Mus musculus: one gene and its partners. The protein of the gene in region 2 interacts with the protein of the main gene of each other region in a pairwise test. Links are inferred from orthologs where the notes say so. Each region holds a gene or a part of one and is shown on either strand. Other genes may lie near its edges. The genes, in order: Synpr, Creb3, Sfxn3, Fis1, Ndufb6, Ptdss1 and P4ha2.

Region 1 (4,371 bases), on a different chromosome or scaffold from region 2:
TTCAATAAGCATATGCTAGTGACCATGATTGTGTGTGTGTGTGTGTGTGTGTGTGTGTGTGTGTGTGTGTGTGTGTGCTCAAGCACTGAGGGATAGGATCCTATGAGAATTTCAAAGGACCATAGAGTTCACAAAATTTGAAGATTTTAAGCATCCTGAAGACTTGCTTATTCATTGGGAACAAGATCTCACCCTGTCACCTGGAGCTGAACTTAGTGTTACACTCTTTCCCCAAGTGCTTGAGGCCCTGGGCTCTATCCTCACAATGGAAAAGACCAAGTGAGGAAGAGACAGCAAGCCAGAGTTCCTGTGCACACACTTGGACTTGAACGCACTGTCTTGTCTTTCATTCCTTCTTTACATCTCCCTACCAAGAACTGTGAAATGTTAGTGTGCCACTTTACAGAGGGAAATCTAAGGCACAGAGAGCTAAAAAGGCTGTCAGTTCTCACAATCTCCCAGTGAGAGGAGAAGCAGCAGGAGATTCCAGGTTGTTTCACTCTTACTCACATTTGGCCGGTGTTCTTTGGTCCCACCCTCCCCTTCTTCACAGGAACAAAAGTAGAGCTAGAAAATAACTGATGATGTTGTTACTATGTTGTGTCCAGATGTCTACATGAGAAGAGGAAAGAGACACAGACAGAAACAGAAAGAGGGGTAAACCTGACCCATGGCAGATTCTGGATTACATACCGTGGATTAAACACGTGGCAGTCTGTTGGCCTTTCTGTTGGGACATTAGTAGCTGAGCAATAGACAAAGCTGGCACACTAGACCTCTTACTGTGCTGAGCAGAGTGCTCACTCAGGGCAGAGGGAGTACAGACTTGCAGGATTCCCTCTGTAATTCAGTACAGATATTCAGGGGACAATATCCTTCAGTGGGTTAGACAATATCCTCAGGGCACCCAAGAGGAATCTCTCTGTGAAGGCTGGCCCACCCTCCCAGAACAATAGCCTCTGGATATCCAGACTGATGCCCCTTGAAGAAATGAGTGCCACTTCTTTCTGAAAAAAGAAAGAAATTTGAGTCTTGTTTAAGCCTCTGCCAGCTTTTTAATTTTGTGATTTTCACAAGTCTTCATTAACACTGTCATGATGAATGAGCACCAAGTTATAATTTGTCCCTTCCATAGTCCCCAGAGCCTGAAAAGCCATCTTCCAGTGCCATCACCTTAATGATTATTTATGGACAGTGCATGACTTTTCCAAATGGGTACCATGCATAACACCCATGCATTTCCATAAAAACAAGGGCAGTTTTTAAAAGCAAACATACATTTGCCTCATCTATGCAAATCTATTCCAGAGGATTTAATGAAACCACTGCTTCCCTGTACCCTAAACATGCAAGTTCCTGGCTTGTGTTCAGCTCACAGTTTGATTTTAAGTGCTGTGGTGAGAGGAGGGGGCTCTCTGAGTAAGAGGGGAGCTGGTGCCTTAGCTCATGATGCAGCGTGCTTGTGCAAAGCAGCCTGCACTTGCAGTTGTGAGCAGAGAGCCAAGTGTGGGAGTGCACAACGGAGGTAACGTCCTCCCCACAAAGCAGCCAGCACACAGCAAGGGAGTATCAGGTTCCTGTAGTCAGCTGTGGGCTGTCACTGTCTACTAATATGACTGTCTTCCCATCTCTCTGCAAGAAGGCAGAAGCTGCTATCTGATTGGTATAGCATCTGACTTTCCCTCTGCATTGATTTCTTGTCCTTTTCCTTTGCTTCATAAAGAGAGGGACAAGAGCTGGTGCTGTGGACAGAGAAGCTTCATTTTTAGTATGAGACAACCTCTTTATTTTTTCAGGAGAGGGAAGTTGGATTATCAATTCTTTTGTAAATGTGTATGGTGATATTTGCTCCGGTAAGTTTATCTCTATTGATTTGCTTTTCTCACTCTCTGTCTCTCTCTGTCTTTCTCTGTCTCTCTGTCTCTCTCTGTCTCTCTGTCCCTCTCTCTTTGTCTGTCTGTGTGTGTGTGCGCGCGCGCTCGTGTGTGTGTGTGTGTGTGTGTGTGTGTGTGTGTGTGTGTATCTCTGTCTTTCTCTATGTCTCTGTCTATCTCTGTCTCTTTCTCTTTGTATATATACATGTATAAGTACATTTGGGGTGTATAATTTTCTTTACCAATGTGATTTTTTAAAAAATAATTGGTGATAATGTCTTTTTCCCCTTTAACTTTGCTTTCTTTTATGCATGTTTAAACCACAGAGTCTGGGTTATATAGTATAATTCTCACGTTAGCTACTAAAGTATATACTGGGTTTCTGGGTTTCTTTTTAACACAGTAAGAAACTAAGCAAAGTTATATTAAGCTTCATAAAAATGTAATGCCATTCCATCTCAGCCTTTTTTTTTTTAGGGCACTTAATGTTCTGAGTATATTCATTGTGCCACAACTTGCCTATAATTTTAATTAAAGTTTCTTCACCAGTATCACTGTGAGAATATCTTCAACTCTTTAAATAGCTTCCAAATACTATGTTAAATTCATAAGGTCTTATACCAAACTACAGTTAAGAAATGAGCTGCCCCTCCAATTCTGAGACATTTATTAAGAGAACTGAATTTCTACACCAAAAAGTATCCATATTGTTAAAGTAAATCTCTTGCACTGTATGAAAAGCTGGGCTTCACATGGCCATTGTTTCTTTTCTGACTGTCTTGGGTGTTTGTGCCACCATCTGCCACATGCCTAGTGCTGAGTCTAGTGTGGCCATGGCTCAAGCTAATCAGGAGGAAAGTTGCTTTTATTAATTCACACTGATGCAGAATGGGTTTTCAGTCACATCTGTTCAGATTCATGATTTCTGAATGCATCACCTGGTTAGCTGAAGGCAGAGGATGGTCTGGATTCCTTATTGTTAATTCAGAAGTCTGGGAGAAAATCTATTAATATGATTACAGTAGATACAGATGGTAAGACGATTAACTACTTGTGCTAATGGAAACAAACACACTTTACTCTTTTCTTTCTTTTTTTCTTTTGTCACACAGCAAATCTACATAGCTTTTTTTTTTTTCACAGTAAATGAACTACAGAATATATTTGTAACAAAAGTTAGGGTACCTATAAATCACAAGTGAAAACCTGGCAATTTTTAGACTTTTAAAGTAAAGTTGGGAATTTCAATTAGAACTCTGAGGCACACATTCTTTTTGAGTGACAGTTTTTTGGGACTGTGACATGGTTTCAGATAAACTCTAAGGAGAGAGTGATGTCTACCCAGGAATGAACTGACCCGCCTGAGTGCTGTCTTCAGGGTGCCCTGCAATGCACCTGTTACTTGCATGCTAACACAGAGCTGCTCATTTTGATGATCAGTCTGAATTTTGATTACTGTAGCTTCAAAAATAAATTCCCCCCAAGTCACCTAACTATTTCTATTGTCTGATCCCAGTGAATGTGTTCCCAGGACAACTTCAGAGGTCATATATACTACAGGAACTAAGTATGCCTTAGCAGGTAGGTTGTTGAAAAAAAAAATCAAGCATGGCTTTCATTCTTGAGCCCAGTGAAAGCATTAGGAGTGGGCAGGCCCTGTCCTCTCTCCAGCACACACAGCTGACTCCCTTCTTCCTCGCTACATCCATTTTTGGATGTTATTCTTTCAGAGCCAGTGGTAACAAGTTGCATGTAAAGTCATGAGCTGTAAATGGAGTTGTCACCATATGAAGCTACTCCACAAGATTAATTAGTAGAGTTTGAAGGAATGGTGAATTACAAGTATCTGCTTTCTTCTTTGTCAGCTTATTATGAAAGACTCAGGGTTCCATACATGAAACCACTGTCACTGGACATCAGTAACTTCAATAAGTTAGTATTGTCAACCATTAGTTTGAATTGGGATAAGTCTGCATGATCTTTAATTGTATCCCTCCTGACAAGTCCTGAATACCATGTCCAGAAAAGTTTGTTGTAATCTATTTTAAGGAACAAAAATCCCAATGCTGTGGACAAAAATAGTGAAGTGGTTTTGAATTTTTCCACAATGAAATCTTCTTTTTGTCTTAGCAAAATGAAAAAGGCCTTGATTGTTTCCAGTTTGTAAATACACACTTTGGCTTATCTCTCCTCGTCTTCATAGCCACTGAGAAGAGGCTAATCTCAGCTCCTAACTTTTAAGATAGGAAAATGAGAACAGAGAATGTGTGCAACTTGATAAGATGACACAATGATGCACATGAGATGGCGTGAGTGGCATGTTCATCCTCCGGTCAGGGCTTCACCTTGTCAGCATAACCTATGGGAAGCTCATAGGCCACGGTGATTTTCAGGCACTTAACCATAACACAGCACGTTTCCACGGGTATCTTTTCTTCTTCTGACAATAGATAACCTCCTTTTCCTCACACTGTGCTTTTGTAACTCCAGGCTAATT
Region 2 (4,305 bases):
CCGATTGTCTTCAAATGGCCGCTTACAGATTCTGTTCCTCCAAACGCTGCACCTTGTTCTGCAGCTCCCGATTCTGAGCTGTGTATTTCAAGACCCTAGAGGACAACATGGATGTGAGGACACGTGGATTTCAAAATATTGTGTCTCCTCCCTTCAAGACCCTCCAGGCTTCCCCCGTGTCCATCCTTGCTTACCTGCTCTCCAGCCCCACGACATACACCTTCTTCTTCTTGCGGCTTTCTTGAGCTGCTCTCTTGTTACGAATCTTCCTCCGCACTCGTTTCAGAACTTGTTCCTCCACCTAAGAGAAGATGGGGGAAAGGTCACCCACAGTATGTTATTATATGCCTGTATGTTATACCTATATATACTACATAGGTATGTTGGAAGACAGCTAACCTTCTTCCCAATCAAATACTCTCCACAGCCTCTCTGTCAGTAGGCATTTACCTTCTGTGTGAACACCAAGGAGCAGATATTCAACACTAGAAAGCCAGACTTTTTATTATTTTTTATGTGTTTGGGTGTTTTGCCTGCATGTCTGTATAACGTATATGTATAATGGGTGTGCCTAGTGCCCACATAGGCTAGAAGAGGGTGTCAGATCTCCTCGGATTGTAAGCTGCCATGTGGGAGCTGGGACTTGAACTCATGCCCCATGGAAAAGCAGAAAGTACTCTAAACCACGGAATCATCTTTCCAGTCTCTAATTAATTTTAAAAATTCCACTTAAGCTAGGTGTGGTTGTACATGCCTGTAGTATCAGCACTTGGGAGGCAGAAGAAGGAAGTCAGGATTTCAAGACCATCCTTGGCTAGGGTAGTTTTTGAGGACAGACTGAGCTACATAAGACCATGTCTCAAAACTAACAACAACAACATCTACCCTTATCCTAAAGCAACATCAATCTTCTTATAATTTCCATTCATTTGATTTTCCTAGAGTCTCTAAAGTGATATAGAATATATCCTTATCTTAAGGTACTTTCAACTTTTTTTCTTTCAGAAACTAAAACTGAATAAAGTTAACTCTTACATTCTCTGATAATGCCTGTCAAACTTGGACACTAGCCAAGAGTGACATCATACACTTGTAATCTAGTCCGAGGGAGTTAGAAGCAGGAGAATCAGGAATTCAAAGGCATTCTTTCCCTACTACATAGTTTGAGGCCAGCCCAGCCTGGGTTTACAAGACCCTGCCTTAACAACAAGGGCCAGAGGGCGTGGCTCAGCAGTGAGCATTGATGAACATTCATGAGGTACTGTACTCCAATCCCAGTGGGTAGGGGAATTATGGCATGCTCTGGCCAGTGTAAAGGAAGACAAGACAGTTACTATCCTAGGGACAGAACCACTATTGATAATTTCCAAGTTCCGTTTCCTTTCCTCCCAATATATTGCTCATTCATCTTGTAATAGTGATAGAGGGATAGGGGATGGTTTCTCACATAGCCCAAGCTTGCCTGAACTCAACATGAAGCTAAGTCTGTCCGTTAATGCTGATCCACCTGCCCCAAATAAGTAAATATCTACATATCAGAAGTAAGACAATATTAAAAAGGCAAATGACATTAAAAAAATTTGCCACAAAAACTAGATGCAGTATTCTTGTAATCCCAGCACGTGGGAAGTGACTTTGAACTTGTGAAGACCTTCCTGCTCCTGCCTCCAGAGTGCTAGGGTTATAGAGGGGTGCACCATCATGTCCAGCTTTGACGATTGTTGATGTTGTTAGACTGAGTCAGCCTCTCAAGCATTTCTACCACTGAGTATGATTCGAGGTCCCAAGATAACAACGGAAGCTATCAAGGCCCTTCACTTTCAAGGCTCTGTACTAAAGTTACATTTAAAACATTATCTTTTGACGTGGGTGTGTGTTTGGAGATGAGAGAACTTGTAGGAGTTGGTTTGTCCTTTTGCAAGTGATTGATATGAAACAAACTGAGCTTGCCTACTTGGGTTACCAACCCCCTCCAGCCTTTGCTCTACCAACAGGAGCCTTACCTTAGTGAGAGGAAGGGTTGAGGGCAGAGTGAGCCCCTCCTTCTCCAAGAGCTTCTTCTCTTCCTCGGTCAGTATCAGCCTAGACATCTCCTAAGGATGGAGGAAATAGTGAAGAGAGCAGAGTTGCATGGAGCTCTCAGAGCAGTATGGGGGATCTTGGCTGCTGCAAAGTGAGGTAATCCTGAAAAAAAAAATCAAGTCCAGCACCTGTTCCGCTGCTCTTTCCTCCCCTGGCAGTGGAGTCACGTGGAACCCCTCCTTTTCGAAGCTCTCAGTATCTGCAAAAGGGAAAGTAGAACCAGCTAGCCCAGTGAGCTCTCTCCTCCCCCACAACTTATCATTTCACACTCACCTAGATCTATGGAGACGTGCTCCTGTGGAAGGGAGTAGTTGTGATCATGGAGAATGGAAGAGCTGGAAGAGCCGAGAACATCCCGCGATACTGAGGGACTGAGCAGAGAGCTCAGTAAATCCTCTACCTCCCAGTCGCTCAGTTCTTGCACGGAGTTCTATCAAATTCAAAGGCCTTGATTTATTTCCGTACCTTGGGTCTCGCGGACATCCCTAGCTTCCCCCACTGGGAACACCCACCCACCCACCTCGGAAGGTGACAGCTCTAAGTCCAGCGGAGCCTTCACGTCCGGCTCAGTCGCAGCCCACAAATCTCCGCTTTCCTCTAGCAGGAAGCCCAGCAGGTCCTGATCACCGGGATCCAAAGCTAGCAGATCCTGACCACCAGGATCCATTTGGGATATCTATGGATAGAAATCCCTCCGCGCAGATCCAACCTCCGAACCTCAGGCACGACCCCTCAGTCTGTCCAGTCGGCTCGACTTAACCTCCGTCACTCCGGGACAAGGGCCTAGCTGTCACTCTAAACCGCACCCGTCTCTCAGCTTCTGTATTCCTCAGCTTCCAACACAACGGAAGTGGTGCACATAGCCCCGTGGAATCCTGGGACTTGGAGTTCTCTCCAACTCGGAAGTGGCTCCTGGGCTGCGCCACGTCCCGGGGGCTATGCAAATTATGGGGACGTCCTTTCAAGCTTCCCACGCCCCAGGGCGGGGATTCTGAGGATCCTTGTCCGCCTTCGCCTCGAGCTATTAAAAAAAAAAACTTAAGCGTTTAAAAGGGAACTCCAGCTTAGTTCGGGCGTTCTCTCCAGAGCTCTGCACGCTCGCTTCCTGCTGGGGAGGGGCGGCCAGGCTTCGCGGGCGCCCGAGCATCGAGAACTACGGCCAGAGCAGCTTCCTGCAGTCTCCGCTACCATAGAGCGCGGGCCCAGGGCGCCGCCGGCGGGTGGGGGACGTTTCCAGGACGGAAGTGGCCGAGAGTGTGTCGAAGGGAGGGCGAGGCCGGAGCCCCAAAAGCGACCGGGAGAAGGAGCGGGTAGCGGGCCCAGGGCGGGGCGCAGAGCCGGGCAGCGCAGGTAGGCCGGACGGGCTGGGCCGAGCTTCTAGGTGGGGCTGCGGGATCGGGCCAGCCCGGGAAGCGGCGGGCGGGGCCCCCAATCCTCCTGCATATCCTGTGTCTGGTTAGGGAGGTCAGGGTCCAGTATGTTTCGGTTTGGATTTGGAATTAAGCTGGCCTTGTTGCGAGAAGCAGGCCCTTTCGCGGGGGTAGACAGTTCTCTGTCTCGGCTAGGTTTGGGGACGGGTAGAAATGGGGTGGCAGTGAGGCACTGGGTGGCAGTGAGGCACTGGGCGGGGATGGGCTTTGGTATTAGCCGATAGTGAGTAAGTGGTTAGGAAAACTTGGGGTGAGTTTGGGTTAGGTGCCGTCGCGTTTAGGAAGCAAGGATCCCTTTAGAAGTTAAGAAGGTGAACTACATTCTAAACATTTGCTGCACGAGTCAAGTCTGTTTCGCATATGTGACATTTAAACTGAGGTCATTATTTTCTGCAATGACCAGCATTAAGTCAGAGTACAGGATCGGGTTAAGGATCAACAGGAATTGGCTTAGATGCCCGTTTTAGGGATTAAAGGCCGGTGTCATGGTCAGTATTAAGAATAAACAGTGAAAAGGTTAATTAAGAACCAAGTTACAAATGAGCTTTAGAACTGCAGGGTGGGGTGGGAGGGAGTATTTAGGGTTAAATTTGGGGGATTTGGGCCTAAAAATAAAAGCCAGATTAGTATGGGTGTCTTCTGGGAAAGGGGTGAATGTCAATGTATAGGGAAATAGGAAATAAAGTCAGCATTAATGTTAGGAATTGGTGATAGCGTTAGGGGTTGAGGCTGCAGCTACAGCTGAGCTGGTAAAATGTAAGAAGTTGGCAGGAAGTAGCTACCTTTGTTTTGT
Region 3 (3,310 bases), on a different chromosome or scaffold from region 2:
GCAGAAAGGTAGATGGAGTTAGGAAAAAATGGGACACAAGCCATTCTGTTGTCTCTGTCTCCCCACAGCGCCGTCCCTGGCTGGGGGCGCCCCTGCAGGTGGGACTGGTAGGCTTCTGGTAAGTTTGCAAAGGGTTCAGTAGGGGCACATGGGAAAGCCATTATCATTTTGGGTGTGGGTGGGCGCGCACTATCTTTGAGATGCTTACATAACATTGTTCATATATCCAGTTCCAATGGATACCCATAGTGCAAAATCTGTGTGCGCGCATGTGTTGGAAGGGTGGGGGGACCTCTAGGGGTTCTTGCCTTTGAAAGTCAAGAGTTTAGTTGAGGGGTTCAGCCTTCACTCACCAGAGGACCCCATACAAGTAGACTCTAGGGTACAATCCAGGAGTTGCATCCCATTTTACCCCTGATCCTGTTGCTCTCTGATCCTGGGGCTTTGGGTTGATGCTCAAGAGGCTCTTTCCCCAGACAGGATCTAATATCAGGACTGAGTTTAACATCCCTGAATGGTCCTTTGACTCCATTTTCCAACCTTTATGGCTGGGATAGAGCTCAAAAACAAACAAACAAACAAACAAACAAACAAACAAACAAATAAGGCTTCACTCCTGGGGCTATTCCTGTGAGGTGGGGTACAGGGAGGGGACACAAAAGTCAGTGTCACAGACATTTCCTGTGCTCTTCTTCTCTAGCTTGGTATTTGCCACACCCCTGTGCTGCGCTCTGTTCCCTCAGAGAAGGTGAGTGACACCGCTGGACCTGACCAGAATCTCTGCCCGGGACTCTGCATCTCAGGCCCGCAGTGTGTTCCCGGGAGGTCTGACAGGAGCATCTGGGAGCCCGGGGTGGGGGGTGGGGTGGGGGTGGGGTAACAGTGAGCCAGCCCTTCTGAAAGCAGGGAAGATTCTTCACCGGGGAGTGGAGGGAAGCCAGCTCCTGGGTCTGAGACACTGAGCCCGGAGTATATTTACCTAGCCTGTGTTGTTCTATTGCAGCTCCATACATGTGACCAGGCTGGAGCCGGAGCTGAGAGCTCAGATCCAAGCACAAAACCCCAGCATCGATGTGGTTTACTACAACAAGGGGCTTTGAGGGGAGTCGGCCTCTGTCCCTGTCCTTACCTCCTTAGGCTGCTTCTCTGATGCCACCTTGCAATGCTACCACCTGTTTATCTTCTGGGTACTGGGCAAGGGGGCTTGATGTGGGGAGCAGCCACTGAGACCAGCAACCTTAGACTGGGGGAGGCACTCCTATAAGCCTCTCCGCTCCTCTCTGGTTTCAAAGAGCAAGTCACAAAACCCATCCCTCCTGTGTTTGTGTGTGTGCACTGCCACATATGCAGCACATGTGTTTATACATTTCATCCTGGAAGCTAAGAGCAGAAATGCTGTTCTAGGATGTCCTGCTATTTGTCTTCTCTTCTCAGTCTCCTGCCCACCTAACAGCAAGCCTGGTTATGGGTGAGACTTCCTTCCCTAAACTGTTCCTCTAGCTAAGTCATTTCTGATAGCATCTTAGCCTTCTGTGCCCAAGATAAGCCCCAGGATCCCAGAACAGGGACTGAAGAACATCGTAGGCCACCCAGAGCTTAACCCTTCAGGTTTCAAATACAGCTATTTGAACCAGCTCTAAAAGCTGGTTCAGGACGTGGGCTGGTAGAGGAAGCAGTGTGGAATCAGGGAGGCAGGGGGCTCATGCTTGCTGGACCCCACACCCTAGAATGGCTCCACTCCTCTCTTCTGGTGGACCATGGGGGTGTCAGTAGCCTGCACTGCTCTCCACACTGCATTGTGGGTGCTTTTAGAGACCATCTTGAGCATTCTTCGTCTGTTCTGATGAGTCATGTCATGATTCAGAAATCCCACACTTCCAATTCCTCCCCCAATCAGAAAGCCACACAACACAGGCAGAGCAAGCATTCCCTTCAGGAACTGCCACCACCCGTACCCACTTGTAGGGGCTGGTGTGGGACCGGTGCTTAAACACAGGCCTCAAGCGTACAGTATCAAGACAGGTAATTCTGTGTTTCATTGACTCTTCTTAGACACACCCCCCCCCCCTCAGCTCCTTCCTTTCCATCTACCCCGTCTCTGGAAGAACCCAAGGCTTCATATATGCTAAGCAACTGCTCTACCACTGAGCGACATCCCCAGTGCCCTCTTTCTCTTTTCCTTTCTTTCTCTCTTTCTTTCTTTCTTTCTTTCTTTCTTTCTTTCTTTCTTTCTTTCTTTCTTTCCTTTCTTTCTTTCTCTCTCTCTCTCTCTCTCTCTCTCTCTCTCTCTCTCTCTCTCCCTTCCTTCCTTCCTTTCTGTCTGAATGTGTCTGTCTGTCTTTCTGTCTGTCTGTCTTTCTTTCTTTTTTTGTTTGTTTTTGTTTTTCAGTTATGGTTTCTCTGGGTAGCCCTGGCTGTCCTGAAACTCAGAGATCTGCTTGCCTATGGCAGTGAGTGCTGGGATTAAAAGGCATGTGCCACCATTGCCAGCAGCCCGTCTCTTTCTTAAGACATGGCACTGCACTCCCTCTGCCCTTAATTTCAAAAGGAAGAGGGACCCAGGCTCTAATAGCTGGACCAAATAGAAGATGAGTTCGGGAATGGTGTGGGTGATACTGACTCCAGGGCATAGAATTATATCTCCACGCCAAATCCATGACCTCTAGCTAAAAGGTGAATGGGGTCCCCAGTGACATCCACGGAGACCACTTAAACTAACCTCCTCTTCCAGTGACAACAGCTGTCACGTCATGGTGTCAATAAACTGCAATCCTGTCTGGTTCTTGATCTTCAGTTATTCCACATCCCACTTGTCTAAGGAAGTGTCCAGGAGATTCTCCTGCCTTCAGCTCCTCCCCAAACCCTCCCCTACTGTCTGTAGGGAGTCTCATCTCCCAGTAGAGGGCTCTCTGAGCTTACAAAATGGGTCCTCTGGCTAGCAACTATACCCTTGGCTTCATTTCTATCTTCACTAAGAGGACTGCTCACATATATATTAATTGAAGCTCATGGCCTTTTGGTTTCCTTGACGACTCTGGCATAGGGTGGTGACCTCGGTCTCTAGGAAATCTTTACAGAGGGAAGAGGAGGCCAGCAAGCGCCTGCTCATTAGAGCGAAGCTGGTAGGGAATTGGGACATCCTCTGTCTTTACCAGGTCACTGTGGCAACTGGCCCGACAGGATCCCTCCATCACCCCCAGGGTTCTTCATTGTGTGTGTGTGTGTGTGTGTGTGTGTGTGTGTGAGAGAGAGAGAGAGAGAGAGAGAGAGAGAGAGAGAGAGAGAGGAGATTGAGGAGAAGAGAGACAAC
Region 4 (4,216 bases), on a different chromosome or scaffold from region 2:
CTATTTGTAGGGGGAGAATGGCCCAAAGTAGCTAAATTAGACAACGTTGGCAACGAGAACACAGGATACCTCAGACATACACGTCTATCTAAGGACGAATAGCCATAGGCCAGGAAGAGAGTAGGATCCCGACAAACTGCAACCCTCACTCCTGTGAGGCCCAGGCCCCAGCCTCAGACCTTGCCAAGTCTGCCTGTGGACAGTGACACAGAGCTGACATTCCTTTTGCCCTTTCACCCAGGCCTCTGAGAAAGCCTTGGATTGTCTGGCTCCCAAGAAGAGTTCCTACCCCAGGCTGGACTCCAACTTGCTAAGCCAAGGATGATCTTAAACTTCCTCCTCTTCCTGCCTCCACCTCCCAAGCGCTAGGATGAAAGCCTGCATGACCATTCCCCCTCCCCACATTAGATGCATAAGGATAGGAGTTTTCTTTTTCTCAGTGCCAATCCCTGTACTTAAATAGTGACCGACACTTAGGAAATGCTCAATCAAAAATGAATGAATCAACCAATAAGCAACGGCAGGGCTAGAAGATAGATGTTCTGAATAGCAAAGACGGCAGGCACATGCAGAGTGCCTGTGATTACTGGAGGTTTCAGAATCATAGGGCAAGGGACAGCGAGTGTGCTGGCTAGTCCTCTGTCAGCTTGACACCCAAACTAGAGCTCTCTCAAAGGAGGGCCCCTCAATTGAGAAAAATGCCTCCATGAGATCTGGCTCCAAGGCATTTACATAACTGGGGGAGGACCCAGTCCATTGTGGGTGGTACCATCCCTGGGCTAATGGTCCTGGGTTCTATAAGAGAGCAGGCTGAGCTGGGTGGTGGTGTGTGCCTTTAATCCCAGCAATCAGGAGGCAGAGGCAGGCGGATCATGTGACCCAAGTTTTCCCCTTATAGCTGGAACCCAGGCAGTTGTGAGCTATGTGGGGTCTGGCAACAGAACATGAGAGCCATCCATGGGCCTTTAACCCTGGACTGTGTTTCCTGGGTTTTCTTCAGAATCCTATTAAGAATGGCTGTCCACTATGGTCATGTGACCCAAGTTTTCGGAGGGGGGAGGTGGGGGAGTGCGTGGAGCATGGAGAGGGTATAGCTACCAATTCCTCTTGCTTTATGAGAGACTGAGCATCTCTTTGTGAGAGACTACACTGAGACCCTCCGGCCCCTGGTACTCATTAGGATTTTATTGCAAACATTGAAGATAATCCAGGGTCCTAGAGTGAGGGGTTCTTACACTGGTTCCTAGGATAATGTGATGCAGGGAGGATCTAGGACATCAGGGGAGTCCAAAGAGAGCAAAGTATCCCAGCGTAGGCACTAGTGCCCCCGCCCGCCCCAAGGCAAAGGAGGAAGGGGCGGGGCCTCCACAGGTCGATGCCGGAAGTGCCTCTCCGCCCCTGCTACTGGACCATGGAGACTGTGGCCCAGTAGAGACCTTAGTGTGAGGCTTTCAGGGGCGGCGGCCATGGAGGCCGTGCTGAACGAGCTGGTGTCTGTGGAGGATCTGAAGGTAAGGTCTGGGACGGAGGAAGGAGAAGGGCAGAATTGGAAAGGGCAGTTCCTGAGGAGAGCTGACTGAGGCTAACCAGTGCCGGTTTCGTCTTTCTTGGCAAGCTGAACTACGGCTCCCAGCAGCCTCTGCGGCATCCTGCTTCTTGTGGGAATCGGCTTCGTGTCCCTAGGCCTGACGGGAATTGTAGCTTCCCGGGTTTCAGCAACTCAGACCTAGGCCTGGGGTCTTAGTGTGATGCAGAGCTGGGAATTTGGGGTACTCGTGTGCAGGGATGGAGTAGTATAGTCACTGGTGTAAATTTTCGCTAGTGTTTAGTTCCTCACGGTGCTATTTTCACCGCATCCTTGTAGCTGTGTTTTCTTTCCTCTCCTAGAATTAAAGTAAGGCAGATCCAGGCCCAAAAGAGTAGGGTGGGACGGGACCAGCGGCCTCAAGGGAAAGGCCATGTAGGAGGTCGTTTAGCTCTGGGACAGTATGTTTACTCTTCAGACACTTGGGGTCAGCTGGTTTGGGAGCAGTGCCTCCAGCTGCCACCAGGTGGCATCTCCTCTTGGTACCACTAGGGGCTGGGTTCACGGACCTTCCGAAGGGGAGGACACAGCATGGGACCCAGGGGTGGAGATGACAGAAGCTTCGGGGTACCAAGATCTACAAGGGAAAGGCGGCAGGGAGGAAAATATGATCTAACTGGGATTCAGACATCAAGTTAGCTGGAGAATGATTGCTGCTCTTTGTTGCTAAATGGTCACTCTTCTCTCTAATGACAGAATTTTGAAAGGAAATTTCAGTCTGAGCAGGCAGCTGGTTCTGTGTCCAAGAGCACGCAATTTGAATATGCCTGGTGCCTGGTTCGAAGCAAATACAATGAGGACATCCGCAGAGGCATCGTGCTGCTGGAGGGTAAGGCGCTGGGCCCCACTTTCCAGCCGCCAGCCAGCCTGACCTCTACTGTGCTTGACCTCACCCCTCCAGGACCCTTTCCAACACAGAACCCTCACCTTACAGCACATTTGTCATTCAGTAACCACCAGTAACTTCACTTGGAGAAAGGGCTAGATTGATTCTCTACGTCCCCAGCATCTGAACAGTCATTCAGATGGAAAATGCTGTAGGAAAAAATGCTCTCAGGCTGGGGAGACTCAGTGCATCCTGTCCAGGCATGAAGACCTGGGTTCAAATCCCCAGCACCCACAGCAGCAGCTGAGTGTGGCCATCCGAGTCTGTATAGAGAGTAAGCTGGAATCAGCTAGAGATGGCTTGTTGCCATCTTAGCCCAGGTTCAGTTGGAGACCCTTTCTTTAGGGGATGCTGTGGAGTGTGAAAGCACTGGCCGTCCTCTGACCTCCATGCTTCCATGTGCACACACACAGTGTACACAAAACACTTCTGGTATAGTTACTAATTGCCGTTAATATAGTGTTTACGTTGTATTGGATAACAGTCATTTGGAAAATTCTAGAGATTTAGAATATCTGAGGGGCTAGTGGTATCAAGGCTGTGTGACCCCAGCACTACAAAGGTGAAGACACAGGAACATAGTTCAGTAGTCGAACATTGACTGTGGAGATAGAGGCAGGAAGGTCAGAAGTTCAAGGCCAGAGTCAGCACATCCTGACCAAATTTGAGGTCAGCCTGGGCTACATGAGCTCCCTGACTCAAAGAACACTGCATCTTTGGGGACTATAGGTGCATTCTATGCAAACACCGTTTAATTTTATAGACGGGCCTGCCGTCTGTGCACTTTGAAGTCTGGGGGCTGTGTTGGCATAGTCCCAGAGGCTGTCAAGGGACGACGCTGGGAACAGAAGACTGCTGTATCATTAGTCAGTTGACTTTGACACAGGACCTCTAACCTGTGCGTCCTGCTTCAGCTACCTCAGTGCTGCGAGTTCAGGGGTGCCGCCAGCTCTGGGGTCTCTAAAAGCAAATACTGTCCCCCTACTTTGATCAGTTTGGACTTTTAGGTTTCTTTTACAGTAGAGCACAGCAGTGGGAGTGGTGTCAGCATTTGAGTCCTGTTTGGAGACACAGTGCAGACCCTGAGGAGACTGTAGCACTGCACAGCTATTTAGTGCCGAAGTGGTGGCTGCCGCACCACGGAACTCCAGCGCTAGAGAGGCTGGGGCAGCCTGATGGGGAGTTTGAAACAAGCCCGGGCGGCATAGTGAGTGCCTATCTTAATACCGTCCTACGGGGATACACACACACAGAATGAAATGAAAAACAAGTCAGACAAGGGTCACTCAGGGAAGATGAGTTATAGGAAAGGGGGGCAGGTTGTGGGCCTAGAGTGGTGATTCACACCTTTAATCCCAGTAGTAGGAGGAGTAGCAGAAGTAGGAGGATCTCTGAGTTTGAGGCCAGCCTGGTCTATAGAGTGGGTTGTAGGACAGCCAGGGCTACACAGAGAAACCCTGTTTCAAAAACAAAACAAAAGCTCAGTCTACGGAGTGCATGTTTGCTGTGTATGAAGCCCTGCTTCAATTCCATTCCCAGCACTGCATAATAAGCCAGCCGTATCCCAGACCATTCAGGAGGTGGCAGGAGGAGCACAAGTTCGGGCATTCTCAGCAAGATGAGTGTCAGGCGGGAGGTGACCTTGCAGTAGGACCCATGGCTGCCAGTGGGAATGCACCCATCCATACAGACTGCGGGGCTGGCTCCTGGTCTCCACCACAGGTGTTTGACAGGCTTACGGCTGT
Region 5 (4,140 bases), about 3.3 Mb from region 2:
ACAGACTTAGTGACCATGCATTCAAACACACGCCCACATTCACATTCGTGGTTATTTCTCCATCTACCTATGAATACACAGTAATAACTATGAGTTCATACAAACACTTCCAATTCTAACTCCATTCTCCAAGGTGTTCCCCTGTTCATGTAAATAACTCCATTCGATCAGTGCACTTATTCGATCAAGCTCCTCCCATCTAACAAATGTCCTGTCACCATCACCACACCTTGTGATGTTGAACCTCCTCACCTTATTTGGGTTCTGATGTCTTACTCCACCTCAGGTTCCTTACTTGACTCCCTTCTCGAATTCCAGTATCCTATCCCAGGTTGCTGGCACTAAGGCTCCCCAAATGGACGTGCTCAGCCTACTCTAGCAACTCTCACTGGACACAGAACACCCCATTTACACTATCTGAGTTCCAACACTCCACACTACTGTTCCCCTTCCATGATGTCGCAGAAACCACATGCCCTTCTCCTACTGCCTAGGATCCAATAGAGCGGAACAACCACACTGTGCTGTCCCTTGTCTTTAAACCACGGCAAGGGGCTTTAGTCAACCCATGCAAGATCTTCCCATGAAAAAGTTTGTGGTTTTTGGATACCCTAGATTGTAAAGGAAGAGAATTACGAAAAATCAGATAAGGACAAGGAAAGGGAACTGAGACATGGCAGACTTGTTGGAACGTTACCACATAACGGACTGGTCTAAAGAAGCAGCAGAAGTCATCTTTATACCTGCTCAGGACTCCAGGGTTAGATAGACATGCTGACCATTTAAACACTACTTCAAGGAAATGCATTGCAAAAGGTATAAGCTAGTGTAAGAGTAATTTTTTGATTTCTAAGTTTTGAAACTACTTGTATATAAGAGTACTCAGAATTCAACTAAACCTTTACCCACCCACCCCCAAAAATTCAAAGAACTTTAAAATCAGCTTAGCATGGCATATTATTTTCTGAGTATAGCACAGCCACAGGAAATTATTGGATAATATTAAAAATAAGTTCTGGACAGCATACATTTAAAGTATACTTACAGCCATATGATATTTGACATAATAGTGAACAAACCACATAGGTATAAGCACATGAGAAACAGCGAAGAGACTGGAGCGGTACGCCTTAAAGACCTGCGGGGGAAACACATACAAAATAAGCAAACATCCGCTCTTTACAGTTTTATTTTTTAGATTTATTTACTTTATGCATGTAAGTGTTCTGTCTGCATATATGTATGTGTACCAGGAGTATGCCTGGCGCCCTCAGAGCTCAGACAGAAGAAAGCATCAGATGCCCTGGAACTAGAGTTACAGACAGTTTTGAGCCACCATGTGCATGCTGGGAACCAAAACTGGGTCCTCTGAAAGAGCCAAGTGGTCTGAAGCAGTCACCTCTCCAGCCTCACCCCACCCCTCACTTGAGACAGGGTCCCAAGCGTTAGCCAAGGCTGGCCCGCCTCCCTCTGCAGAGATCCTCGGCTATCCTCCTGCCTCAGCCTCTGGAGCTGCTGTGATTACCAACATGCGCTGCTTACTCTCCCTAGCATGAGCTACCTTATTTTTCAATGTGTGTGGAACAAAAACCAAACCAACTAACCAAACAAAAACATTCCACCACTACCAACTATGTGTGATAATTATTTTACAAATTTCTAAATGGAACATATTTCCTGACAGATTGGGGCTGACCTACCAATTTCAGTATTTTCACTAACTCTGAGGCTTCCTATAGAATATCCATAGATTCTAAGACAGAATAAGCACCATTCTGCAAGACATAAGGCATTGTTGTTCAAGAAACCAACCAACCAACCAAGACTTTGTACAACTACTACTTCTACTTCTACCACAATTACTGGAAGGAGCTGAAAGCAATTCCCACACAATGTTCGCTACTCATCATTGATGTGATTTAATAGCAGTCTCCAAGAAAATATCTGGAATCCTTACAATAAAAAGCAGTCCTTGAGTGAACGGTTTTTCTGCCTGGAGGTCATGGAATGCAATTTAAAAGTAACTAAAAGTGTGTTAAACGTACACAGTGATGCGTAGAAAGGGAGCTTTAGAGTCTGACAAAGCATACCAAATAGAACCCTGTCTTCTGTTGCGACCCCATGGGGCTGTACTATACCAGCTGGCCAGTCTCTGGCACCTCAACCCTACCCACCGCGTAAGTGTTCTCAAATACTGAAATCACAGCCTGTGATCTCAGTTAATTCTGACCAGTTTAACCCGAGAAAAGGTATCTACACTCGAAAGAACTGCATGTGCGGCGAGCGTCTTGTAAAACCTAAGACCCGACTTCTCAGTACACCTGACAGCCACCTGCTCCTGGACTCCAGACCCCAGCCCTGAACAATAGCGACCTGACAGCGTCTCCGCTAAACCTGAGCCCCTGGACTGATTGTCCCTTGGGGCCCTCCCGGGTATGCGGGCTCTGGACAGGGTTGGGCCTTGATGGAACTGAGAGGAGTGGGCTGGGAGGCTTGGCCAGGCTGCGACCCGGGGTGGGAACCCGGACACCCGTGTGGCTCATCACTCACCATGTTCTTCCACACGGCCCCGTCCCGCAAAAAGTTATCCCAGAATCGCTCCAGGGGCCACATCCTGCGCGGGGGCAACACGGGCTCCCGGGGACTCAGCTCCTGGTCCTTCAGCCATCGTCTCCTTAGCTCCCGCAGCTGCTGCAGCCGCAGCTTCTCATCCGGCGTGTACCCTGACATGTTGCCGACGAGCCTACACAGGACCGGTCACTGACCTGCCCCTCCCGCTCCGCAAAGCGACCTTGAGGCGCCTGGAAGCGGCGCGGAGTGATGACGCCACACCAGCCCCGCCTCTGGGGGCGGGCCGACTCCTTCGCGGAAAGCAGGCTCTGCTCATGCGCAAAGCCCTCTCTTGGACCCTGGGTTTTAACAACCTGGGTTAAGTATGAGCTCAGGAAGGTCCCTGAGTTAAGAACTAAGTGGGCGGTGTTGGAAAGTGTGAGAAGTCCTGGGGCTAGGGTTCAGAGAAAGAACTTGTAGGGGAGGGGACCGGAAGAACAAGGACGATGGTTTAGCGAACCTCTGCCTCGCCCCCTTGAATTCTCTTCTTGACCGAGAGACACTTGCGTCCGAATTTGGCTCCCACCTCTTTCGTAACCCGCTAAGTAATCTTGAGCGCCTATCTCGGTTTTCTTCCCTCTCTGTACTGCAGAAATAAAGAGCACCTTATTTGGGAGGCTTCCATAGGCTCGCTCACTCTTTGATTCTGCCGGCCCACTTTGTAAGACATCCCAAAGGTATGGCAGTAAAAATTTGTAGGGGTGTGCACGAATATTCGTCACAACACGATATGTAATAGCAAAACATTGAAAAATCACCTCCCAGATTTCAGAATAGAGGATTAGTGGGAAAGCTTATAGTACTGTAAAGCATTGGTATGCTACTGCCATAAATGAGCCTTCTATTCATAACTGGAGTAACTTCTACAATCTATTGATAAGTTAAAAAAATAAATAAGTAAATAAAACCAACTACACCAAGTATGCTACCTTTTATCCAAAAGCAGGGAGAGTAGTAGTGATACTAAATATATATACATGCTCTGAAAATTTTAGAGTAATAAATGAAAATAATTTTGTTATTTGTATTTGGTTTTGGAGACAAGATCTCATGTTGGCTTTGAAATTGCTATTTAGGGAGACTGGACTTAAACTCCGAATTCCCCTGCCTCCACTACTCATGAGCTAGATGAAGTACACCAGTATGCCCAACCTAACTACTGCTTCAAACACCACCACCAATATTATATAGGGAAGATAGGATAGACACAAAAGTAGGAACTAGGGAGTTTGGAGGTGGCTTAGCGGTTAAGAACACTTACTGCTCCGTCAGAAGACTGAATTAGGAGAATCTAGCTACATGGTGGGGCTTCTGGAACCTGAGTGTTCTCCAGCAGAGAAGAATATGATTTATAAGGCTCTCTCTAGCGAACCAGAACTGGGGAAGTTTCTAAGACCAGTAAGCAACTTGATTAGCAGGTTTCTCTGGTCAAAGATGAAAACATTTCAGCATCAGTAAGTATGAATTGAATGATTTTTAAAATATAAAACACGTCACACATAACCAAGTCAAAATACTTTATTAAAAAAT
Region 6 (3,656 bases), on a different chromosome or scaffold from region 2:
GTTGTTGTTGTTGTTATTATTCTGCTATTCCTCGAAAAATTGACCTAAATTACCCACTAAACCTTTGTCTTTCTCTAGACCTATTCAGAGTGTGAAGATGGCACTTACAGTCCAGAGATCTCCTGGCATCATGGGAAAGGCTCCAAAGGTAACAGCTGTCTTGTTCATTGTGTAAAACTTTATTGAGTCCTCTCCATCCTCAGGCCTACTGTGGAGATTTGGGGTCAGTATTCGTCTTCTGAGCATTGGTGAATATATTGAAGTGTCTCAAACTGCTCATCAAATCTCACCTGTCACTTCACACAGTGTTCACAGAATAGAGGCAAAAGTATGCTCTGTGAGATAAGACGATGCTGGCCTCTGCTTTCCTCGGGCAGAGAAGTAATGAGGTCTTCTTGACTCTAGGCTTTCAGAGTGAGTGAAATTCTTAGAGAGAGCTGTGTGCCCAAAGGGAAAGATTTTCAAAAGAATCTGATGAATTTTATTCCAGATGCAGAACAGTGTGAGCAGGCCCCCAACTGGCCTCTCTCTGGGAAGCACTTTGTAATAGTCTAGGGCCACTGGGTTTTTGAAATTTATAAATATATGTACCATTGACAGTGAAGAGACCAGTAAACTTAAGGTCTTGTGAAAATCATGACTTGGGGAATCAAACTGGGTCTGAGAGACTGAACTCACTGTGGTCAGTGGTTAAGGAAGGCCTGTCAGTTCCTTTACAACCTGTGCTTCGAGATAACCCTGGGGAGCTGGTGTTGTGAATTCTGCTTGCTTTCCAAGCACCCTGCAGTCTGCTGACCTGTGTGGCCAAAGGGGTTCACTAGACTGACCTTCTCTGGGCCCATCCAGTTACATAATCAGCCCTGGGCATTCCTCGTTCTCCAATAGAAAGAATTTATGTGTGCAAGTGATGCAGCATATGAAGTGTGTGTGCGTGTGAGAGAGAGAGAGAGAGAGAGAGAGAGAGAGAGAGAGAGAGAGAGAGAGAGAGAGAGAGGAGAAACTTTTCAGAACCTTTGGGACTGTGACAAATACTTCGAATGAAGACAAAATGCTTCTGGGCCTTTGGGGAGTGGCGTTAAGTGGCTGTCTTTGGTAAATATTTCACCCAGAACTGAACCAGAACACTGAAGAAGAGAGGGTTTAGGCTTAGCCACTCCCTTAGGGGCTGGCCACATCCTCATATCAGAGGAAACAGTAGCCCTAGTGTTACAATGTCACCTCAGGGCTGTCACTCAGAGCATCAGGTACCTTGCCTGTAAAGATCTTGATGTCTCTGCTAATAGTTTTAAAGTTATAAAGTCAAGAATCTTTTCCAACTGAGACCTTACAAAGCCTGTCTAACCGTTCAGTGTATACAGACTTGGGGAATCTATACTGTAGCTGTAAGCATAAGATGGATACCTACCAGTGTGGCTGAACTTTTATTAATGTTTATGCTTTCATTTGAACTCACTTCTGGTCCTCATGACTGTGTCCCAGACTAAAAATTACTTAGAACTCCAGTTTTATGGGACAGTTACCTGGTACACACAAGGCATAGACAAGACTGTCAGATTCCCCTGGCCTTAATTTATTAATGGGGCCACTAGAGGGACATCAAGTAAGAATTGGATTTTAGCTGAGAAGCATGGCAGATCCCAGGAGTCAGCCACAAAGCCCAGAGGCCCCTGGTGATAATGTGTTGGCTTTCTTTGGGCAGGTTCTGAAGACAGCCCACCGAAGCATTCAAGCAACCACGAAAGCCATTCTTCCAGAAGAAGGAACCGGCATTCTAAGTCCAAAGTCACTAATGGAGTTGGAAAGAAATGAAGGAAGCTAGTTAATGTCAGATGTTCCAGAGTGCCTAGACCCGAGAGGAAAACAGCATATTTGGACCTTCCTATGCAGAGATCATAATGTACGGAAAGAACCGAGGGAGCTTAGGGGATCGTGACTTGAGAGTGTAAGTCTTGTCTCCCATAGACCTGGACACACACTAGGCTGACCATGGCTCGGGGTCCTTTGCCAACTGGAAGAGTCTCTAAACTTCAGCGTATGGCCTGCATTCTCTGGTAGCAATACAGTGTGCTGGAAGGACAGGATAGCTGTTTATTCCCAGCTGCCAGCAGTGGCTCTCTGCTGGTGTGTCTTGTGGATGTTGTATAAATGTCTTCATTCAGATGTTGACTTAACTAACTGGCTAATGAACTGGTCGCTTGGTTTTATTTTTATGAGTCTGCCTGTCCATTTGATTGATTGTTTAAGTTCAGAGAGTCTGCTTTTACTTCATGTTTTTGAGTTAAATAGCTTCAAAGCTTCCAGAATCCACTGCTGAAATTGGGGGAGGGTTCCTTCTAGAGAAACAAAGGGTGGAAGGAGCTTTGGTGTCCCAGCTAAGCATACTCAGTCCCCAGCCACATGGCAGATGACCCCAGCCGGAGTGAAGAGGCTGGCTGCTGGCACTGGAGCCTCGGCTTCAGATTAGAACTGTTTTGTTCCCTTCCAGACACTGTCCAGACTGAGTGCACAAGAACGACCTTGCGAGCGGATCTGGGACAGTGGGGCTCCCTGCCAGGGTCCTTTTCCATGTGCTTGGTTTTTCCTCTGTGATGTTTTGCCTACTCTGTCTTTCTGGCTCATGTGAGGTGCTAGTGGGTATTAATTAACTTTCATCTGTGCCATGTTCTACTAAAACATTCTCCCTGTCTACCCTGGATCCTTGTTTTAAATATATCAGTTCACATTAAACAGCTCATCAATGATCTGTCTTTGTTAGAATGATGTTTCTTTGTATCTTATTAGTCTTTTAACTACTTGGAGGCAAGTTCATATTTTGCAGTTGACCTTAGGATAATATGTATGTATGTGTGTTCTATATGGTAAAGAAAGAAAAAAGAAAAAATATATTTTAAAGGGGCTTACACATATATGTCCTATCTGAACCTTCCAGAGTGATCCACAGGGAATGGAAGTGTATGCAGGGGCATTGTCTGTCACTATGGTCTTACTTACTAGGTTGGATTTTCTTTCTCAGACAAGTGGGCTGTAAAACAAACTTGCTACAAACAATCCTGCTGCTCACTCACCAAAGCACGATGATTTCTGTTTCTTTGCCTCCTTAAAGGGAGTCTTTGAACTATAAAAGTTATGTTTTATTTTGCTTTCTCTCTCTCTTTCTGTCCCTCCCTCCCTCCCTCCCTCCCTCCCTCCCTCCCTCCCTCCCTCCCTTCCTTCCTTTCTTTTTTGAAAAAGAATTCCCAGATGAGAGATTTAAATCAATCATGAAGAAAAACTCGACTCACCGTTATTGCTCTGGGTGAACACTTGAGTTAAGAGCCACCCACAGACTTGCTTTCTCAGCCAGCCACACATGTCCACTGGTCCACCCCAAGAGGCTATGGCAGGCCACAGCTCTAAACTTTGCCATAGTGTTCCATGAGCCTGTTTAAAGGGGAACAAAGAGGTACCTATCATTCCTCATCCCTCATTTTGCAGTTCTGGAATTGAACTTGGGGCCTCTTGTGTACTAGACACGGGCTCTGCTACTGAGATTTGGCTCTCTCCTCACATTCCATCAAACAAAACAGGCTTTTTTGGGGGGGTTTTCAAGACAGGGTTTCTCTGTATAGCCCTGGCTGTCCTGGAACTCACTTTGTAGACCAGGCTTGCCTTGAACT
Region 7 (4,210 bases), on a different chromosome or scaffold from region 2:
GATGGGGGATAACAACTGGACTGTAAAAAAAAAAAAGATTAAAGATAATTTAAAAAAAAATAAAAAAGAGCATACACCATGTAAGGGTGATTTAACAACGGTAAAGCAATAAACATAATACAGTAACTGTTGGGGGCTGTTGTGGAGCTAGAAGGTCTGAGAGATAGGCCAAGAAGATGGACTTTGCTTGCTTGGTTGGCCAAGGAGAGATGCACAGTGGGTGGTAGAGTGGGGTGAGGGTTATGTTTCCATAGCCATGGATTGAAGGTATTTATAGGCCAATGGGAAAGATCCTGTGGAGAGGGGGAGGAGGAGGAGGAGGAGGAGGAGGAGGAGGAGGAGGAGGAGGAGGAGGAGGAGGAGGACCACTCCGGACAGAGAAGTGGGCGGGCATGGGGAGGATCTGAGGATCTGGGCAAACTGTACTTTCTGTGGCATAGCAGATGCAGAAAGGTTTGTGCATGGTTTCAACTGGGCTCTTGGCTGGTAGCTGCCACAGACACGGACAAGTGGCCAGGTAGTATTTTCTGAGTTGTTTCTGTGTGTCTGTCTTTCCTAGTCTGGGCCGTCTGCCTGGTCCATGCCATTATAGGGAAATCCACACCAAACTCCAGGCACAGTCCCACAGGCCGGGCATCTCCGTTCTGGGCTCTGCTCCCTGATGAGATTCTCAGACTGCTTCCCCTCATTCATGGAGAAGCAAGCTTACAGGGCAGGCGTGGGAACCTGCTCAGCTGCCAGAGCATCCTTCAGTTCAGATCGAGGTCGGTTGCTTCCCTGTCTTCTTGACTGTGTGTGTCTCAGACAGAGCTGGTTGAGGTGTCCAATCTCATTGGCCTGTGTTATAAGCCATAGGTTGGCCCTAGGATGAGATGCTCCAGGCTACGCCAACTTCTCACATTTACAGAAGAGCCGAAGCCTGGCTAGCCTGAGCCCCTCAGAGAAGCAGTTAGGCTTTGGAGATGGGTCATCTGGAGAGATGAGGTGCGCTGACATCTCAGACCCTTGTCTTTTCCCTCCCTCCACTCCCCTCCCAGGATACTCAATTCCCGATCTTAGTGACGCCAGCCTCCTGCAATTTGCCGGTGGTAATGGATGTGGGGGTGGTGGGACCACAGAGGGCTGGAGCAGGCTGGGATGGGGGCGCCGCCCCTGGTGCCGGTCCCACGCGGCGCAAGGAGGTGTGCATCGCATACGTGCAGCGCGTGGCGGCTCGGGCCTTCCCGAAGGCTCCAGTGGCTCGGAGCCAGGCCCGGGCGGGCCCGGGGGGCGGGAGGTGGGGACGTGGCGGAGGCTCAAGCGGGCGGAGACTGTGACGAGGGCGGAGCCGAGAGCGCCGGGGCGACGCCGCGGGAGGTTCTGGAAACGCCGGCTTCTGCGCGTGTTCAGGTGAGCGCGGGTCCGCAGGGTCGTCGCCGGGCTGGGCTCGGGTCCCGGTGGCCGGGCGGTGCGTTCTGCTCTGCGCGGAGCCGGGAGCTGGATCCGGGGTCCCTCAGCCCCGTGCCCCGCGTCCGGCGCCCTGATTCTGCACCCGCCTGGGTTCCTGTCCCGCCCGCGTCCCTTCCCAGGGTTAGGGCGGTGAGGTCAGCGGTGCCCTTCCTGCCGGTACTGTTAGGCCGGGCCGGACAGGACACTTGGCGGGCTCCCGGGAAGGGGCGACCTGACCCCGGGGTCGCCCCCCGATCTAAGGCGGAGGCGCCCGCCTGGCCCCGAAGGCGGCGCTGCTTAGGATGAGGAAGACCCCTGGCTCCCAACCCTGGCAAGGACCAGCTTGGTCGCTGCCAGTTTTATGGGCTCTTAAATCAGAAACTCTCCTCCTATCTGTCAGAAGACATCCTTGTCGAACCTCTGATGTTTTCCCTGAGCAGTTTCAGAGACCGGTGGCGATTGGCTGACTGATTCAACAAATAGAGCATTCTCTGTGCCTGGAGACTTTCAAGGACTGAGGCAGGCAGAAGGGAAGACTCAGAAAGTTCAGGTCCAGAGCATCAGCAAGGTAAGTACTGAGTTAGTGTGGAGTTTGGGCTGTGTGGACTTGGTAGATGTCTGGATGCTTCCGGGCAGGAGACATGGGCTGGGGTGGGAGGCTCCGGTAAACTGGATTGGTCACTTAGGAACCTGGACTGAGGAATCACCCTGAGTGGCCGCAAGCTTGGGCCAGTATCACGTCTGTGGTACAGTAGTGGAATCAAGGTAACGGAAAAGGGCCGCTTTAGGGAATAGCTGTCCAAGGGCCCCACCCACAAGCAGTGAGAGATCTGCATGAGGAAAGTCCACTGAGCCCTTGCAAGGTGAGCATGGGTCTGGGTACTTCTGTCGCAGGATTTTACTGGGAAGTACAGGTGGGTCTTCCTGTCATCTGTATTCTAATGTGTCATTTACTATGCTGAAGGAGATCATTGAATTGCCCCCTACAGCAACTCTGCTGTGCTCTCAACGCGCTAAGGAGTCTCAGTACAAGAGAATCATTGGGGAAAGGCCTCCAGCCAACTCACTCCATCCTTGCGACGTGGCTTCCCTGACTGGGCCACACAGTGGATCCTTACCCTGAAGAATGACACTTTAAGGATTTTGCTTCTTAATGCAGGCCATCTCGTTACTGACACCTTATCCCTCCTGATGGAAGAGCTTCCTGGAACTAAGAGCAGGGTCCCAGTGCACCACTTTGTAGCTTCTGACATCCTCAAACGTTCTCAGCTTTGCAGAGGTCTATTGTCTAGCTCAAAATTTATAGGGTGATTTTGCAAGTTGTTGCTTGTTCTGAATTTATATCACATCCAAGTCAGCCCATGGTTGAGTGCCCTGTTAAATTGACCAGGCTTTCCTCTGGCGTGTATCTCCACTGCCTCTGAAGTGTCCAGGGTGTAGTCTCTCGATATGGTTCTGTGTGTGCCTCAAGGCCAGCCTCTCGGCTCCTCTCCATGTACAGAATGTTTGACCTTGGGATTCTTTTCTTCTTGGGCCTTCTTGTCCTCACACGAGCTTGTCCACTGTGTGGCCCAGCCAGTGAAGCCACATTGCTTGATGGAGTGAGTTGGCTGGAGGCCCTAGCCTGAAGATTCTGTCATATTGATCCTCCTTATTACCGTCAGAGCTCAGCAGGCAGATATGGTGACAACTCAACTGAAGCATTGTGTGTGACCTTTGGGAGTCCCTCCACATTGTCACAGGCTCTGCAGAGAGACTTACTTATCTATAGATTGGACTGCGTACAATGGACTGTGGGTTGTTCCTTGAATTGCATGTGCTTCATATCTGACTAGACTGGGCCTGGGGCTTGAATGAGGGAGAAGACAGGCGGTGGGGGAGGAGCTCTTTTTGCCCACAGGCAGCTCATAATCTCTCTGAGATCGCTGTTTAGCCCTGGCAGCTGCCTAGAGCCTAGGGAGGAGCCCTAGTGTGGGTGCTCATCAGAGGGAGACTGAGGCCCTGCAGCTCTGGGGACTGCGTGGAGTGAGGGAATTGAGGGCTTCCTTGTCTGCTGAGAAAGCTTCCATTTTTGACTGCATTCTCCCACATCCTTGGGAGGGTTTGAGGCTGGACCGAAGGCCTTGGCTGACTTAGGGCCACGTTGGCCGATAGTGTGCAGAGGCCTGGGGGGTGTGTCCCTGGCTTCTGGGATCTGTCAAGAGCTTAATTTTATGCAGATGGAGGTTGACAGCAAATGCTGCAATGCAGGCACGGGAAAGACCAGCAGAGTCCTGGAAAGAGGCTTCAACTTTGAAAACCATCATTCAAATCTAGTCATTTAGACCTTTGAAGTACCTGAGGGTGGGACACCAGCGTATCCCAGAGCAAAGGGAATTACTGAGTCCTGTGGTCTGTGGGGTTTGTGCTGGGGATGTGGAGTGAAGGATAGACAGACAGTTTTCCTTCTCAGCGAGAGCAGAGCAGGATGAGAAGGTCAGACTAGGCTTTTTTGAGAAGCGGGGTTTTGTTCCGCTGGTGCCACTGCAGGGCAGAGACTTTCGTGTTTGGATAGTGATTTTCCTGACCCTGATAGGATCTGTTTGAGCCTGGTACAGGTCAGCCTCTGCTCCAGACTTCTTGGTAAGTGCTTGCTAGAGATTGCTTGCTCTGTACCTGGCATTCCTGGGAGCCAGGGAGTGGTGGAGATCCCAAGGCCTGGTACTCTTGGGAGACTGGAATGAGTAGGTCAGAAGCATAGAACTATAAGAGATTTTGGAGTATTGGTTCTGCTCCCTGTCTT

What was found.
Region 1: the proteins of Creb3 (region 2) and Synpr interact in a two-hybrid assay, tested with the Homo sapiens proteins (2 studies listed by BioGRID and IntAct). The link is inferred for Mus musculus from reciprocal best matches to the Homo sapiens genes CREB3 and SYNPR.
Region 3: the proteins of Creb3 (region 2) and Sfxn3 interact in a two-hybrid assay, tested with the Homo sapiens proteins (2 studies listed by BioGRID and IntAct). The two-hybrid records come from large-scale screens. The link is inferred for Mus musculus from reciprocal best matches to the Homo sapiens genes CREB3 and SFXN3.
Region 4: the proteins of Creb3 (region 2) and Fis1 interact in a two-hybrid assay, tested with the Homo sapiens proteins (2 studies listed by BioGRID and IntAct). The two-hybrid records come from large-scale screens. The link is inferred for Mus musculus from reciprocal best matches to the Homo sapiens genes CREB3 and FIS1.
Region 5: the proteins of Creb3 (region 2) and Ndufb6 interact in a two-hybrid assay, tested with the Homo sapiens proteins (2 studies listed by BioGRID and IntAct). The two-hybrid records come from large-scale screens. The link is inferred for Mus musculus from reciprocal best matches to the Homo sapiens genes CREB3 and NDUFB6.
Region 6: the proteins of Creb3 (region 2) and Ptdss1 interact in a two-hybrid assay, tested with the Homo sapiens proteins (2 studies listed by BioGRID and IntAct). The two-hybrid records come from large-scale screens. The link is inferred for Mus musculus from reciprocal best matches to the Homo sapiens genes CREB3 and PTDSS1.
Region 7: the proteins of Creb3 (region 2) and P4ha2 interact in a two-hybrid assay, tested with the Homo sapiens proteins (2 studies listed by BioGRID and IntAct). The two-hybrid records come from large-scale screens. The link is inferred for Mus musculus from reciprocal best matches to the Homo sapiens genes CREB3 and P4HA2.

What each region holds. Positions count from the first base shown.
Region 1 is NC_000080.6:13,452,500-13,456,870, forward strand, and holds the start of Synpr (synaptoporin isoform 2 precursor), read left to right. Parts: upstream 1-1,458; 5' UTR 1,459-1,829; coding exon 1,830-1,853; intron 1,854-4,371. UniProt on the Homo sapiens protein: Intrinsic membrane protein of small synaptic vesicles. Probable vesicular channel protein.
Region 2 is NC_000070.6:43,561,257-43,565,561, reverse strand, and holds the start of Creb3 (cyclic AMP-responsive element-binding protein 3), read right to left. Parts: upstream 2,905-4,305; 5' UTR 2,750-2,904; coding exon 2,603-2,749; intron 2,513-2,602; coding exon 2,356-2,512; intron 2,282-2,355; coding exon 2,211-2,281; intron 2,094-2,210; coding exon 2,004-2,093; intron 302-2,003; coding exon 195-301; intron 96-194; coding exon 27-95; intron 1-26. UniProt on the Homo sapiens protein: Endoplasmic reticulum (ER)-bound sequence-specific transcription factor that directly binds DNA and activates transcription. Plays a role in the unfolded protein response (UPR), promoting cell survival versus ER stress-induced apoptotic cell death.
Region 3 is NC_000085.6:45,053,602-45,056,911, forward strand, and holds the end of Sfxn3 (sideroflexin-3), read left to right. Parts: intron 1-68; coding exon 69-118; intron 119-700; coding exon 701-748; intron 749-1,003; coding exon 1,004-1,100; 3' UTR 1,101-2,782; downstream 2,783-3,310. UniProt on the Homo sapiens protein: Mitochondrial serine transporter that mediates transport of serine into mitochondria, an important step of the one-carbon metabolism pathway.
Region 4 is NC_000071.6:136,960,718-136,964,933, forward strand, and holds the start of Fis1 (mitochondrial fission 1 protein), read left to right. Parts: upstream 1-1,359; 5' UTR 1,360-1,466; coding exon 1,467-1,511; intron 1,512-2,281; coding exon 2,282-2,414; intron 2,415-4,216. UniProt on the Homo sapiens protein: Involved in the fragmentation of the mitochondrial network and its perinuclear clustering. Plays a minor role in the recruitment and association of the fission mediator dynamin-related protein 1 (DNM1L) to the mitochondrial surface and mitochondrial fission.
Region 5 is NC_000070.6:40,276,608-40,280,747, forward strand, and holds the start of Ndufb6 (NADH dehydrogenase [ubiquinone] 1 beta subcomplex subunit 6), read right to left. Parts: upstream 2,815-4,140; 5' UTR 2,731-2,814; coding exon 2,551-2,730; intron 1,139-2,550; coding exon 1,046-1,138; intron 1-1,045.
Region 6 is NC_000079.6:66,995,269-66,998,924, forward strand, and holds the end of Ptdss1 (phosphatidylserine synthase 1), read left to right. Parts: intron 1-78; coding exon 79-148; intron 149-1,549; exon of another isoform or gene 1,550-1,699; coding exon 1,700-1,809; 3' UTR 1,810-3,133; downstream 3,134-3,656. UniProt on the Homo sapiens protein: Catalyzes a base-exchange reaction in which the polar head group of phosphatidylethanolamine (PE) or phosphatidylcholine (PC) is replaced by L-serine. Catalyzes mainly the conversion of phosphatidylcholine.
Region 7 is NC_000077.6:54,099,652-54,103,861, forward strand, and holds the start of P4ha2 (prolyl 4-hydroxylase subunit alpha-2 isoform 1 precursor), read left to right. Parts: upstream 1-1,272; 5' UTR 1,273-1,389; intron 1,390-1,868; 5' UTR 1,869-1,996; intron 1,997-4,210. UniProt on the Homo sapiens protein: Catalyzes the post-translational formation of 4-hydroxyproline in -Xaa-Pro-Gly- sequences in collagens and other proteins.